4 linked regions of the Saccharomyces cerevisiae S288C genome follow. The gene in region 4 interacts genetically with the main gene of each other region. Each region holds a gene or a part of one and is shown on either strand. Other genes may lie near its edges.

Evidence for each region.
Region 1: mutations in ADI1 (region 4) and SIL1 together harm fitness more than expected from each alone (negative genetic interaction), as found in Saccharomyces cerevisiae (2 studies listed by BioGRID).
Region 2: mutations in ADI1 (region 4) and CIS1 together harm fitness more than expected from each alone (negative genetic interaction), as found in Saccharomyces cerevisiae (2 studies listed by BioGRID).
Region 3: mutations in ADI1 (region 4) and PIR5 together harm fitness more than expected from each alone (negative genetic interaction), as found in Saccharomyces cerevisiae (2 studies listed by BioGRID).

Annotation. Positions count from the first base shown.
Region 1 is NC_001147.6:265,760-269,385, reverse strand, and holds SIL1 (Sil1p), read left to right. Parts: upstream 1-1,856; coding exon 1,857-3,122; downstream 3,123-3,626. Other genes in the region: GAS5 (1,3-beta-glucanosyltransferase), read right to left, coding at 1-1,199; OPI10 (Opi10p), read right to left, coding at 3,217-3,626. UniProt on the Saccharomyces cerevisiae protein: Required for protein translocation and folding in the endoplasmic reticulum (ER). Functions as a nucleotide exchange factor for the ER lumenal chaperone KAR2.
Region 2 is NC_001144.5:821,709-824,280, forward strand, and holds CIS1 (Cis1p), read right to left. Parts: upstream 885-2,572; coding exon 579-884; downstream 1-578. Other genes in the region: YLR345W (bifunctional fructose-2,6-bisphosphate 2-phosphatase/6-phosphofructo-2-kinase), read left to right, coding at 1-332; KAP95 (karyopherin beta), read right to left, coding at 2,120-2,572. UniProt on the Saccharomyces cerevisiae protein: Mitochondrial protein that is involved in citrinin resistance.
Region 3 is NC_001142.9:117,384-120,441, forward strand, and holds PIR5 (beta-1,3-glucan linked protein), read right to left. Parts: upstream 1,443-3,058; coding exon 579-1,442; downstream 1-578. Other genes in the region: FMP33 (Fmp33p), read left to right, coding at 1-404.
Region 4 is NC_001145.3:282,165-285,141, reverse strand, and holds ADI1 (acireductone dioxygenase (Ni2+-requiring)), read right to left. Parts: upstream 1,041-2,977; coding exon 501-1,040; downstream 1-500. Other genes in the region: ANY1 (Any1p), read right to left, coding at 1-42; YMR008C-A (uncharacterized protein), read left to right, coding at 1,594-2,061; PLB1 (lysophospholipase), read left to right, coding at 2,558-2,977. UniProt on the Saccharomyces cerevisiae protein: Catalyzes 2 different reactions between oxygen and the acireductone 1,2-dihydroxy-3-keto-5-methylthiopentene (DHK-MTPene) depending upon the metal bound in the active site.

The sequences.
Region 1 (3,626 bases), on a different chromosome or scaffold from region 4:
TCTTCGTCGTCATCGTCCTTAGCATCACAACTTTGTTGGGTGGCGATTCCGGTTCCCATAGGAGAACCTGCTCCAGATGTGAAGTAAGCAGAAGCAGCACTTGGCATAGCAGGCAAAGTGTTATTAGCTTCCCAGACACCCTTTTCATAATCAGGACATGTAGAATAGTTGTTGGAAGTACTGTAACCACCATTGCCTTCTGGGTTGGATACTTTGCTGTATTCATTTTTCAAGTTTTCAAAATCTGTCAATTTAGTGACCTTGTCACCATCAATTTGAACGAGCCCGTAATTGTTAGTTTCATTGGAATATTCGTAGACTAGCCCACCGGAGAATACAGAAGACATTTGAGTGGAATAGATAGCTTCAATTTCTGTGAATGGACGAGAGCTCTTGACTTGGTTACAACCAAATTCACTTAAGAAGACAGGAACGGAGTAATCTTGATATAGCTTCATCTTGGTGGAATAACCCGATACCACAAATGAAGATTCACCACACCAAGAATAGTCATTAACACCAAACATGTCGATTCTAGCGTCAGCTTCATCACCACAGTTAAAGTATTCAGCAGCCAATTGTCTGTTAGCGACGATATCAGCAGCCGAGTAACCTACCGGAATTTGTCTGTATTTTCTAGCCTTGATGTATTTCTTCATGTCCCTGACCACTGCCTTGACATAAGTAGCAGTGTTGGTAGTATTAACACTATTGATGACCTCGTTACCAGCGAAAAAACCTAGAACATTGTCGTAATCAGCAAAGGTATCAATGGTGGCAAAGACATTTTGTAAGTAGTCAGCGTTATAGGAGCAGGCTGGATCGTAACGAGAAATAGCACTCGTGGGGGTATTGACATCCAGGATCAAGTATATACCGTTCTCCTGCAATAGTTTCATACAATGGGAATGATCTTGCGAGTTATCCACAGTATAAACTCTGACAGTATTTATCCCTAGATCTTTCAGAACGGGGACGTCTCTGTCACAGACAGATGCGTCTGCTAAGGGATCAGTCAAGTTAGAAGAACCACCAGGCTGGTAATCAACACCACGGATATAAAACCTTTCACCTGATTCCGAATTAAAAAATGCATTGCCTTTAATTTCAATGGATGGTGTGGAACTGTTACTGCTGCTAGCAGCCTGAGCCAAACCAGCACTTAAAACGAAGGCACTTGTAAGAGAACGTAGTAACATAGCTATTTAGAGCTGTGTGTGTAGCGAGTGATATATAATATGTTTGTTACAGCCCACTGTTTACTTTTATATACGAAATGCAACACTGTCAACAAATCAGTTCAGGGACCTTCCTATTTATAGTATAAGCAAAATAAAAGTGAAAAATTTCCTGCGGAGTTTTTTTTCTCGAGAAATTGTGAACAAAAGAAAGCAAAGACACAGAAGATGATAAGAGAGAGAAACAACGAAGAAAGAACAACAATGTTGGGGTTCACCCGAGAGATATTGACATACTGACCTTAGAAAAGGCATTACTGAGGCTACTGACTAAAGCGCGTTACATAAATGCATAGTATATTTCTTGTTGTATACGCAGCGGCCAACTAGTGGCAGCAAGAATGTAATGAACGATTCATCTGCAGGTTTGGAGGCCGCAACTAGATCAAAACGTAAATAGCGGGTGAAGTGTTCTGGACGTTAGAAGTAACGTCCGCAGATCGAAGCTAAACACGAGATTAGATTTCGGGTAACGGAATTGTGATAATTAAGAAAGACCAGACTATGTGAAAAGGCCACGTAAATGATAGAGCACACATTAGCAACTATAATAGACTAGTTTTCGCATCGCTGGAAGTTCTCGATATTGAATATCACTTCCAAGAACGCAAACTTAGAATGGTCCGGATTCTTCCCATAATTTTGAGCGCCCTATCTTCGAAATTAGTGGCGAGTACAATATTGCATTCATCCATACACTCAGTGCCATCTGGAGGCGAAATCATATCTGCAGAAGATCTTAAAGAACTTGAAATTTCAGGGAATTCGATCTGCGTTGATAATCGTTGCTATCCTAAGATATTTGAACCAAGACACGATTGGCAGCCCATACTGCCAGGTCAAGAACTCCCCGGTGGTTTGGACATTAGAATAAACATGGACACAGGTTTAAAAGAGGCAAAACTAAATGATGAGAAGAATGTCGGTGATAATGGTAGCCATGAGTTAATTGTATCTTCAGAAGACATGAAAGCATCGCCTGGTGACTATGAATTTTCCAGTGATTTCAAAGAAATGAGAAACATCATAGATTCTAACCCGACTTTATCTTCACAGGACATTGCCAGATTGGAGGATAGTTTTGATAGAATAATGGAATTTGCGCATGATTACAAGCACGGCTACAAAATTATTACCCATGAATTCGCCCTCTTGGCCAACCTTAGTCTCAATGAAAATTTGCCGTTAACATTGAGAGAGCTCAGTACTAGAGTCATTACCAGCTGCTTGAGAAACAATCCTCCTGTAGTCGAGTTCATTAATGAAAGTTTTCCAAATTTTAAAAGCAAAATCATGGCCGCTCTGTCAAATTTGAATGATTCTAACCACAGATCCTCTAATATCCTAATAAAAAGATACTTGTCCATTTTAAACGAATTACCTGTCACATCCGAAGATCTTCCTATATACTCTACGGTTGTTTTACAAAATGTATATGAAAGAAACAACAAGGACAAACAGTTACAAATAAAAGTCCTGGAGTTGATCAGCAAAATTTTGAAGGCCGACATGTACGAAAATGACGATACAAATCTAATTTTGTTCAAAAGAAATGCTGAGAATTGGTCGTCAAATCTGCAAGAGTGGGCAAACGAGTTCCAAGAGATGGTCCAGAACAAAAGTATAGATGAACTACATACAAGAACGTTTTTTGACACCCTTTACAACTTGAAGAAAATTTTCAAAAGTGACATCACGATCAACAAAGGGTTTTTGAATTGGTTAGCGCAACAATGTAAAGCCAGGCAATCTAACTTGGACAATGGGCTCCAAGAGAGAGATACTGAACAAGACTCATTTGATAAGAAACTTATCGACAGCAGACACTTGATCTTTGGCAACCCCATGGCTCATAGAATAAAAAATTTCAGAGATGAACTCTGATTTCACTGTCATTGCATATATAGTTTAATATTAATAATATTTTTTTCAATTAATATTTCGTGAATCTTATTAGAGATATATTATATATCCGTGTCTAATTTTTAGTTACTTCATCCAAAAACGTCCCGTCGTTGGCCAGTCTATTTCTAAATTTGTCCCACCATGTATCAAACCTCTTGATGGGCACGTTTCCCTGAGCATCTAGGAACCCTGATAAATAGTTATATGCATGCTGAACGATTTTGGCGGCCAATTCTTGTGTCAATGAAGGGTAAACTTGTGCCAACTGCCCTGCCGTGGTAATATTTCGAATTATTCCTAAGTTAGGTCTTGACAAGATCAATGAGTTGTTCTTTTGTGCTTCGGCATTCATGCTGGCCTTCCACTCTTCTAATTTCATCATTCCTTGTTCTCGAGGCTCAATGGAAATACCAATAATCAATTCTGATATGTTATTACTGCTACTTCCATTGGTGTCAGTAAACGGATCAGCGGCCCCCGAAC
Region 2 (2,572 bases), on a different chromosome or scaffold from region 4:
CTGATCTTACTGATCAACAGATAATGGACAAATTTCCATCAGAATATAAAGAATCATTAAAAGACCCATATCATTTTCGATTCCCTAGGGCGGAATCTTACCATGACTTAGCCGTTCGTATGGAACCTTTACTATTAGAAATGGAGCATACGAGCAAGGACATTCTCATCATTGCACATGAGTCAACATTAAGAGTATTATATGGCTATTTAATGGCTTGCACCTGCGTAGAGTTACCAAATCTAAATTTCACAAGAGACAAATTAGTTGAAATTTCATTCAGCCCTTTCTGTAATACTGTAGAGTTACTGAACATTCCTTTAACTAGCTAATATACTGGAGTTGCATCGTTGATGTGTATTATCTATATTCAAAATAGTTATTTTTATGTTTAAGAAAGGATTAAGAACAATTGAAAAAAAATTACCATTAGCAACGAATATTAAATTGTAAATTATTTAGAGATATTTTTCTATAATATGCTCGCCTACCATTCTCTTTTATACAATATTTAGGTTTTACCTGGAGGCTAAAATGATATGAGGGGACGATAGCTTAACATGATTGTGACACAAACTTTAAAAAAGGCTTTCAGTTGAAGAGTTTTCTTCCGCTATAGTCTCCAATGCTATCTTACTTTTCTTATTACGTTTATGTCTACCTTTCATATCATTTCTTGTAAGCAACTCCTGCATTTCCGCTTCCTGGGCAGCCTTGAGTAAATCATATCTGGTAATTTTATCAGGTTTATTGCTCACATATCTGCCTGAACCAACAACGTTGATATATTTCCATGGACATGCTACCCACTCTGCAATAGTGGAAGCTGAATTGATTGTGTTTTTTGAAACTAACCCGATGGGACAATTACTGATCGATTGCATTATTAAAGGTGATAAATAATCCTTTGTTATTTGTGCCCCTTAAAATTCATATACACTTTATGTTTAATTCGACAGGTATAACAGAAAGAAACAAGGAAAACAATGCAATTAATCATTAACTGCACCAACTTTTATATGAATATATTGTGCTACATGTCTTAATTAGTCCTCTGTGAATGAGCATCACAAAGAATCACGAGGAAAAGATTGATTACTTAATATTGATAGGAATCAGCCGCGGAAATGGAAATCTTGGTAATATAATTTTAATGCGGCACGCTGAAAATTGATGGCGGCCTGCTAGGAGCCCTATTGATTCCGCGGAAATAGGCGGATTATTACAAACGTTGAGCATTCAGCAGGTGCGGCTGTGCCTTTTCACTTTCAGCTAAGATGTTTGCAAGCAAGAATTAACAGATAAGCCGCTTCGCTAGTAACGCAACTCATTGTGTTTTTAATGGAAGCTAAGGATGGTTGAAATTATGGGTACCCTGAGATAAGATTATTAACTATGATGTAAGTATTAATCATTATAATAAGGGGTACCTGCTCATTCGCATTACCATACATTGACTATTAACGAGCAGAAAGTTTTTGGAAGTTTTGCAGATGAAGTGCATGTTTGATAATTTGAATATGCGGATTTCCTTATTCAAAACTTTCTTTATGCATAGAGCTAATTAGGTTTGAGTTAAGGAAAAAAATCTATCATAAGTGTCTTGAGGTATTTACTATAATGTATACGGGAAATATTAGGTGTGATAGGCTCTAGGAACGAATATTAATATTGGGGGGGGGAAACTGGAATGAAATTAAACAAAAGCAAAAAAATCTAAAAGAAGAAAAAAAGGAGAGAGAGAGAGAGAGAGAGAGAGAGAGAGAGAGAGAGAGAGAGAGAGAGAGAGAGAGAGAGATGAGGGTTATTGATAATATAATATAATAATAAAAGAGAAGATAGTAGAAAAGGAAGAAAGAAAAAAAAAAATTAAGATGTACTTTAATAAAAAGAGGGAAATTCTAAAAAGTGCGACTGGAATTAGAAGAATGCAGGTATTTTGTTTTCTCTCCTATGACGGAGAAGGTAACAAAATCATAAAGGTAAAATAACAAATTAATTATGATCAAAGAGAAATGCCCTTTGTAAACCGTGGTTTGTAAATGCGTTGGTAACTGCAGCAGATGTTAAGAAACAAAGATGGAAAAGAACCAAAATCAGCTTGTAAGTTCTATCGTAATTATAAGGATAATTGACGCTTCTGTTGCTCTCTAGCCCATCTTGCTGTATCTTTTGTGGCTTGACTGAACAATTGGCCACTCCTAGTTCTTTTAATGTAATCAATAACCCAGTCTTGTCCATAAAATTGTTTGATTGAGCCGTCTGGAAACATCGCTGCTATATCACCAATCAATCCGACTGCTGCTCTTGAGGTAGCATCCTCACTGTACAGCTGAGGATCTTCTGCAACTTGTGCAATGAACTGGAATATAGTACCAACATAAGGGAACAGAGCTTCAGGTTTATCATGAAGACCCGCTACTATACCCACATAAGCATCTAGTACTGCTTCTAGTACTTTTATTTGATAATCAAGGGCTTCTAATGTGCCGTTTTCCGGCTTCGTGTTTTGGGCAGCAACACACAACGCCATGATGTCATTCAAGTAGGGAATAAAATCAGCACCTATATT
Region 3 (3,058 bases), on a different chromosome or scaffold from region 4:
GTCTGGCATGCCTATATCTAGAATCAAATAGCTTGAATAAGTCCAAAGAGCAAGAAGATCCCCATGCCATCGCAGAAGACGACATTGTAAATATAGTCCATGACGCTCCCAATAGAATATTCAAGCCAGCACTTGATACCTATCAAGAGAAAGAGCTTGACTTACAAAAGAGTGACCTCCATAAAGTACTTCATTCTTTGACGTACAGTGATGTCTCTCAATTTTCGATTGTTTGGGGGTTTCTCATTCAACTTTCGAGCCTAATAGGCAATTCCACCTTAGGCAAAAAATCCATTCTTTATAAGGGAAGTGTCGTTAGTGTTTTAGGGTTCCCACCGTTGATTTATATGGCACTTAAACTTAGGATGAAACAGCTGGAAAAAGCTGGAGTGCGCTTTGAGTAATGCAGAAGGCAACATCTCCGAAAATAAAAACGATGAAGTAAATGAAAACTCGTTTGTGAATACGTAAAATTATAACGCGCCCCATACATAGTAAGACAGACTTACTTTTATACTATTATTTTAGTTATATTTTTGAAGTACAATCAAGACCTGCAAGATTATAATGTTGGTGATTCAACAATCGACGAGACCAACTGTTTGTAAATGAACGGGATTGCACTGGCCCCCGATAGACTGATCGTAAAGGTTATAGAAAGTGCCCGACAGACATTGGTAAAACACGTCATTATCACCAATAGCTAAAGTGCCATGCTTCGTTATCGACCAGCCGCCAGCGTAAATAGCGCCCGCCTGTGGAGGTGGACCATCAAATTGGAACTGTCTGTTTGCTACTATCGATCCAATTCTACCACTGGAGTCAATAAGAACACCTCCTTGTAACGTTATTGCCAAGGTGCCAGAACTTTTACAGGCTTGCACCTTGATCACTTTTTCATTATTTGGTTTCTTTGTTGGCTCTAACTTACTCTTGGAAAGCACAGAACTACTACTGGCTGAAGAAATAGTAACTTGCACTTGACCATCATGAATCTGAGAAACAGCAGTTGCGGTTGAAGTTGCTGTCGCAGTTACAGTTTTACTTGGAACAGCAATTGTGGACTTTGTGACAACATTTTTAGCTGTAGTTATTTGTAATTGACCATCGCCTATTTGTGACACAATATGTGACACTACTGGAGGCACCTTCTGCGTTGTAACTTGTATTTGGCCGTCTCCAATTTGCGAAACTGGATGAGGTAATTTTTGTGTCGTTACTTGCACTTGACCGTCATTAATTTGTGAAATGACGTTTCTTTTGACCTTACTTTCAGTAACGGTGAAAGGTATAACAGCGAGACCGAATGAGGTCCGGTACTCTGTTGTGCCACCATCCATTTTAGAGCTTGGAGTTAAAGTTGCCCAGGGTTCAGGTGGAGCGTACGCAGTTAGCGCAATACTACTTAATAGAGATGCTAGAAATGCTTTCTTGTAATGCATATTGGGGCGGTGTTCACTTCTTCAGTAAGTTGTATAGAATTAAAAAATCGAGACTAAACAGAAATTTCGAAACAAGAAGATAAGTATATGTATACAAGTTATTTTACTCTTTTAACTGTTTTCGTTTCCCCACTCTTTCGCAAAAAGAATAATTTTGTGAGTCAAAACAGTCGAATTTTCTTGCACAAAAAGTCGATATTCTTTTGTGACTCTGTGTAACTTACTTTCTACAGCTTTTGTTACTCCACTTCTCTTATATATACCCAATGATTCACTCGTAATATATCAGAGGAACGTTAGAATTTCTGTATTTTCTCAGGAATCCTACAAAATTAGAGGTGAAATTGATCAGGTTAAGGAGCAGAAGCCCACTATATAAGTAAGATGATATCAAGCCTAGTTGGATGCCTTCAGGAACGGCAAATAGGATATGTGAGCTTGGCAAAGGGGTTTTGATAGAGTAACAATAGATCCTTGCTAGCCAATGCGACGTTCCTCTGTAGTTTTTACCACAGTTTTACTTAATTTCGTGCTTTGTCCCTTTTTGGCAAAAAAGTCGGATAATGTCTTCACTATATTTGTGTTTTCGTCTTTTAGGAAAAGCGTACTTTAGTAAACTACAAATTTGAGCTGAGCTAATTTCGGATTAGTAAAAGATGCAAGGAACAGTAAAAATTAAAATAGCGATTGACCGAAATCAGTCCAAAAATTACTACAACAAGCAAATCCAATTAAAAACAGTAAAATACTTTAAGTGCATTTACCGTTACGAACAACATATGTCCTAGTTAGTATAGTAGTCTACTAAGTAGCAAAAAAGTAGAAACTCTGTCACTATACCAGCCATCAGTTCATAGTAAAACAGTAAAAATTGTAAAAACAAGCAAAAAAAAAACAAGAAGGAACAAATGCACCAAACTGTTGATCTATTCTGCAAAAAAAAGTATGGTAAATTTTTTCCATTATCCTGGCCGCTAATCCATATGGAGGTGAACTTAGAACTTGCACAAGGATGCGATGAATGATAGGCTTTGTGCTATAATTAATGCAGGCAGGTCCGCCATGTCCAACACGTTGCTGGCCGCAAAACGAGTCAATCTCACTGCTTTGCCACGCTCATTTCTCCCCCCTTCTGCCCAATTAGGCGACCCTCACAATGCACATACACATTTCCCACCTCTATTGGAAGGGGCCGTAAATGGTAATTCTTGGGAGTTATTCATATTAAGTGATCTTACTATTTCCTATTTCGGAAATTATTAAAGACAAAAAAGCTCATTAATGGCTTTCCGTCTGTAGTGATAAGTCGCCAACTCAGCCTAATTTTTCATTTCTTTACCAGATCAGGAAAACTAATAGTACAAATGAGTGTTTTCTCAAGCGGAACACCACATTTTGAGCTAAATTTAGATTTTGGTCAAAATAAGAAAGATCCTAAAAAAGGAATGGTTGGTGAAAAATTTATTAGCTTGAATGGTAGGAATCCTCGAGATATAAAAGGAACACTTGAAGTCTAACGACAATCAATTTCGATTATGTCCTTCCTTTTACCTCAAAGCTCAAAAAAATATCAATAAGAAACTCATATTCCTTTTCTAACCCTAGTACAATAATAA
Region 4 (2,977 bases):
GTCCCTTATTAAAGTAGCATCTAACGGACCTGTTGTTGACATTCTCTAGCTTTATCTGTGGAAAGTATTAATTTTTTATTGAATTTTATAAAGAAAGGAATGCAACAGTATGCGTATAGTTTTTATAAAAAAAATAGGGCGCTGAAACCAAATCAAAATATCAAATGTCGTATCGTTTTTGGCTTTCAGGATTGTTGATGTTTATAAATAGTGATAAGGCTTTGCTTTTTGATATTACGACTATGGCCTATACTTTTCACTATTCTCCATGGAAGAAGTATGCAAATAAATGGAGGAAAAGATGAATACTTGACCAACATCTAAATATAAAAATAATACGAAAATCGTTCAAACTTCCGGTGTTTCTTTTTCCACTTTTGGTGTTTTTTTCTTTTCCTATTTCACAGACTAAAAATCATTCTTGACGGGGAAGTCACCCTACGCTACTTTAAAGATATAAAGAAGTAAGACATTAAGAATAATGTATTATGATGCAGTATTTAGTACTGATTGATCAGGGCAATGTAGTCCTTGCGTACAGGCAATGAATCAGCCTGATTTGACCTGTTGATAGCTTGCCATTTGGGCTCGTCCTTAAACAGTCTCAAGGCCTTGATGTGGTTGCTAGTTGTCAAGGTGAAACGATGATAGATGCCTGGTGGAAGAATCAGTAAATCACCTGACTCTACCAAACACCTAATCCAGTTCTCTGGTGTGGAAGCATCCCTGACGTCAAAGTATCCAGCACCCTCGAGACAGTATCTTATTTCTTCGTCTTCATGTAAATGCTCTTGGTAGAATGTTGCTAGTTTTTCATTAAACTCTGCTTCACTTTTGAAGGAACCTTCGCAGATGTTGACCACATCTCTATTTTTATATTCTCTTTGCCTAGCAATTTCATTCACTTCTTCCTCATTTGCACAGTATTTATAAATCACTCCTAACTTGGCTAATTCATCCAGGGAAAGTTCTGTTCCAGAATTGTGGGGTGCGCGATAATCGGAGTCAACCTTGTTGTCATGAATATATACCTTAACCATTCTAACTTTTGACCTTTTTACGACCTTTTTTAGTGTCTTGTTTGGTGGTTATTGTTTTTTTTGATCTGCAGATGCCACCCTCTTTGTTCTTTTATACTTTGATGTTTTTCAATATGCATATTTCGGTGTTAGCGACTCTACTGTGGCGTCGCCCTGTCGAGCGGCTCTTACAAGGGCCCTTTCAGTCGTCAATGCAAAGAAAACTGGCAGAAATTACCTTCATTGCGCCGTTATGCTATCTTGCCTCTCTCCTGTTATTTAGAAGGCATCTCACTATCTAGACAGACAATACGACTTGCGCACATGTGAATCATTAACAAGATCGTGATTATCGCTACTTCTGCATAGTTTATAGGGAGAAAAAGAGAAGGAAAAAATTGTGTCAAAAACGGGCCAGAATATAAAAAAAAAATATTAATTGAAGAGTAATATGGACTATCGTAAAATACTTGTACTGAACGAGCAGTTAGTCTTGATCTAGAAGAGATGAAAATACCGGTGGGCGGTCGTTCAATCTTCAGCAATTGCAATTTTTTTTACGCATGCAAGATATATGTATGACTTACTCGAGCAAAAATTTTTTGTGCGGGAAATCAAATTCGCTTCAGCCTATTATTTACGCACCGGCAAAGCCCTGAACAATAGCAAGACTCCGATATTTCAGCGAAAGCATTCTTTGCCTGCGTGGCTTTCGTCCGCGGTTATTATTACTGCGCCTGTTAGCAACGACGGAAGTCACTCGATTCTATTTGCTCGTAAAACTCTAAGAATGATAATGCCTATGTTTAGTCCGCTTTTCAACAGAAGTCCTGACGATTGCCCTTCTCATCTGACCGCTACCCATATCTTTCAGCAATTCAGCGCTATGCTGGATTACGGACAGAGTACAAAGGAAGCCACTAACAAGCGCAGGTTAATAAAGGGTTCTGACCTACTTGTTGCCTTGGATCGGAATTGTATTCCTTCAGCCCCCTTTGTCCCCGAAATTGCCCTGCGTAAAAGCGGCGCAGTGGGGTCCTAACGTTTATTCCTTCCAAAGCTTTCTCATGCCACATAGTGCTAAAATAAGTGGACGCATGGGTTTCCTGCACGGACTTCTTCAAAGCGACCTAAAAAGTCCGTTTCTAACTTCGCCTTTCCTCATTATATGCGGTTTACGCCCTTATCTATAAAGGGAAATAACCTCATACAGTAACATGTCCGCTTATTCCCGCATATTTTTCTCAGTTAAGCAACATTCATTTACGTCTCCTATTTTTGCTTAGAAGATGACTTGGTTACTTTATTTTCTTCTAACTGCTTAGGTAAACTACATCATCTAATATATAAAGACGCTTCCACCACATTTAACCAACGGAAACGTCTCTTCGCTGTAAGGTTCTACATTTATTAGGTTATACTAACTAATCAATTCTTCGTTCTTTTCTTAACATTTCTCTCTTTTTTCGTTCATATAACGTAAATTACACGAAGCTATCCATCCTAAGGGCAAACGGGAAAGAAAATAAAACAAAACCATGAAGTTGCAGAGTTTGTTGGTTTCTGCTGCAGTTTTGACTTCTCTAACAGAGAACGTTAACGCTTGGTCACCAAATAACAGTTACGTCCCTGCGAACGTAACCTGTGATGATGATATTAACTTAGTCAGAGAAGCATCTGGTTTGTCAGATAACGAAACAGAATGGCTGAAAAAAAGAGATGCATACACCAAGGAGGCTTTGCATTCTTTTTTGAATAGGGCCACTTCGAATTTCAGTGACACTTCCTTGCTATCCACTCTTTTTGGTAGCAACTCTTCCAATATGCCTAAGATTGCCGTCGCCTGTTCTGGTGGTGGTTACCGTGCCATGTTGTCTGGTGCTGGTATGCTTGCTGCTATGGACAATCGTACTGATGGCGCAAATGAGCATGGTCTTGGTGGGCTGCTGCAAGGTGCA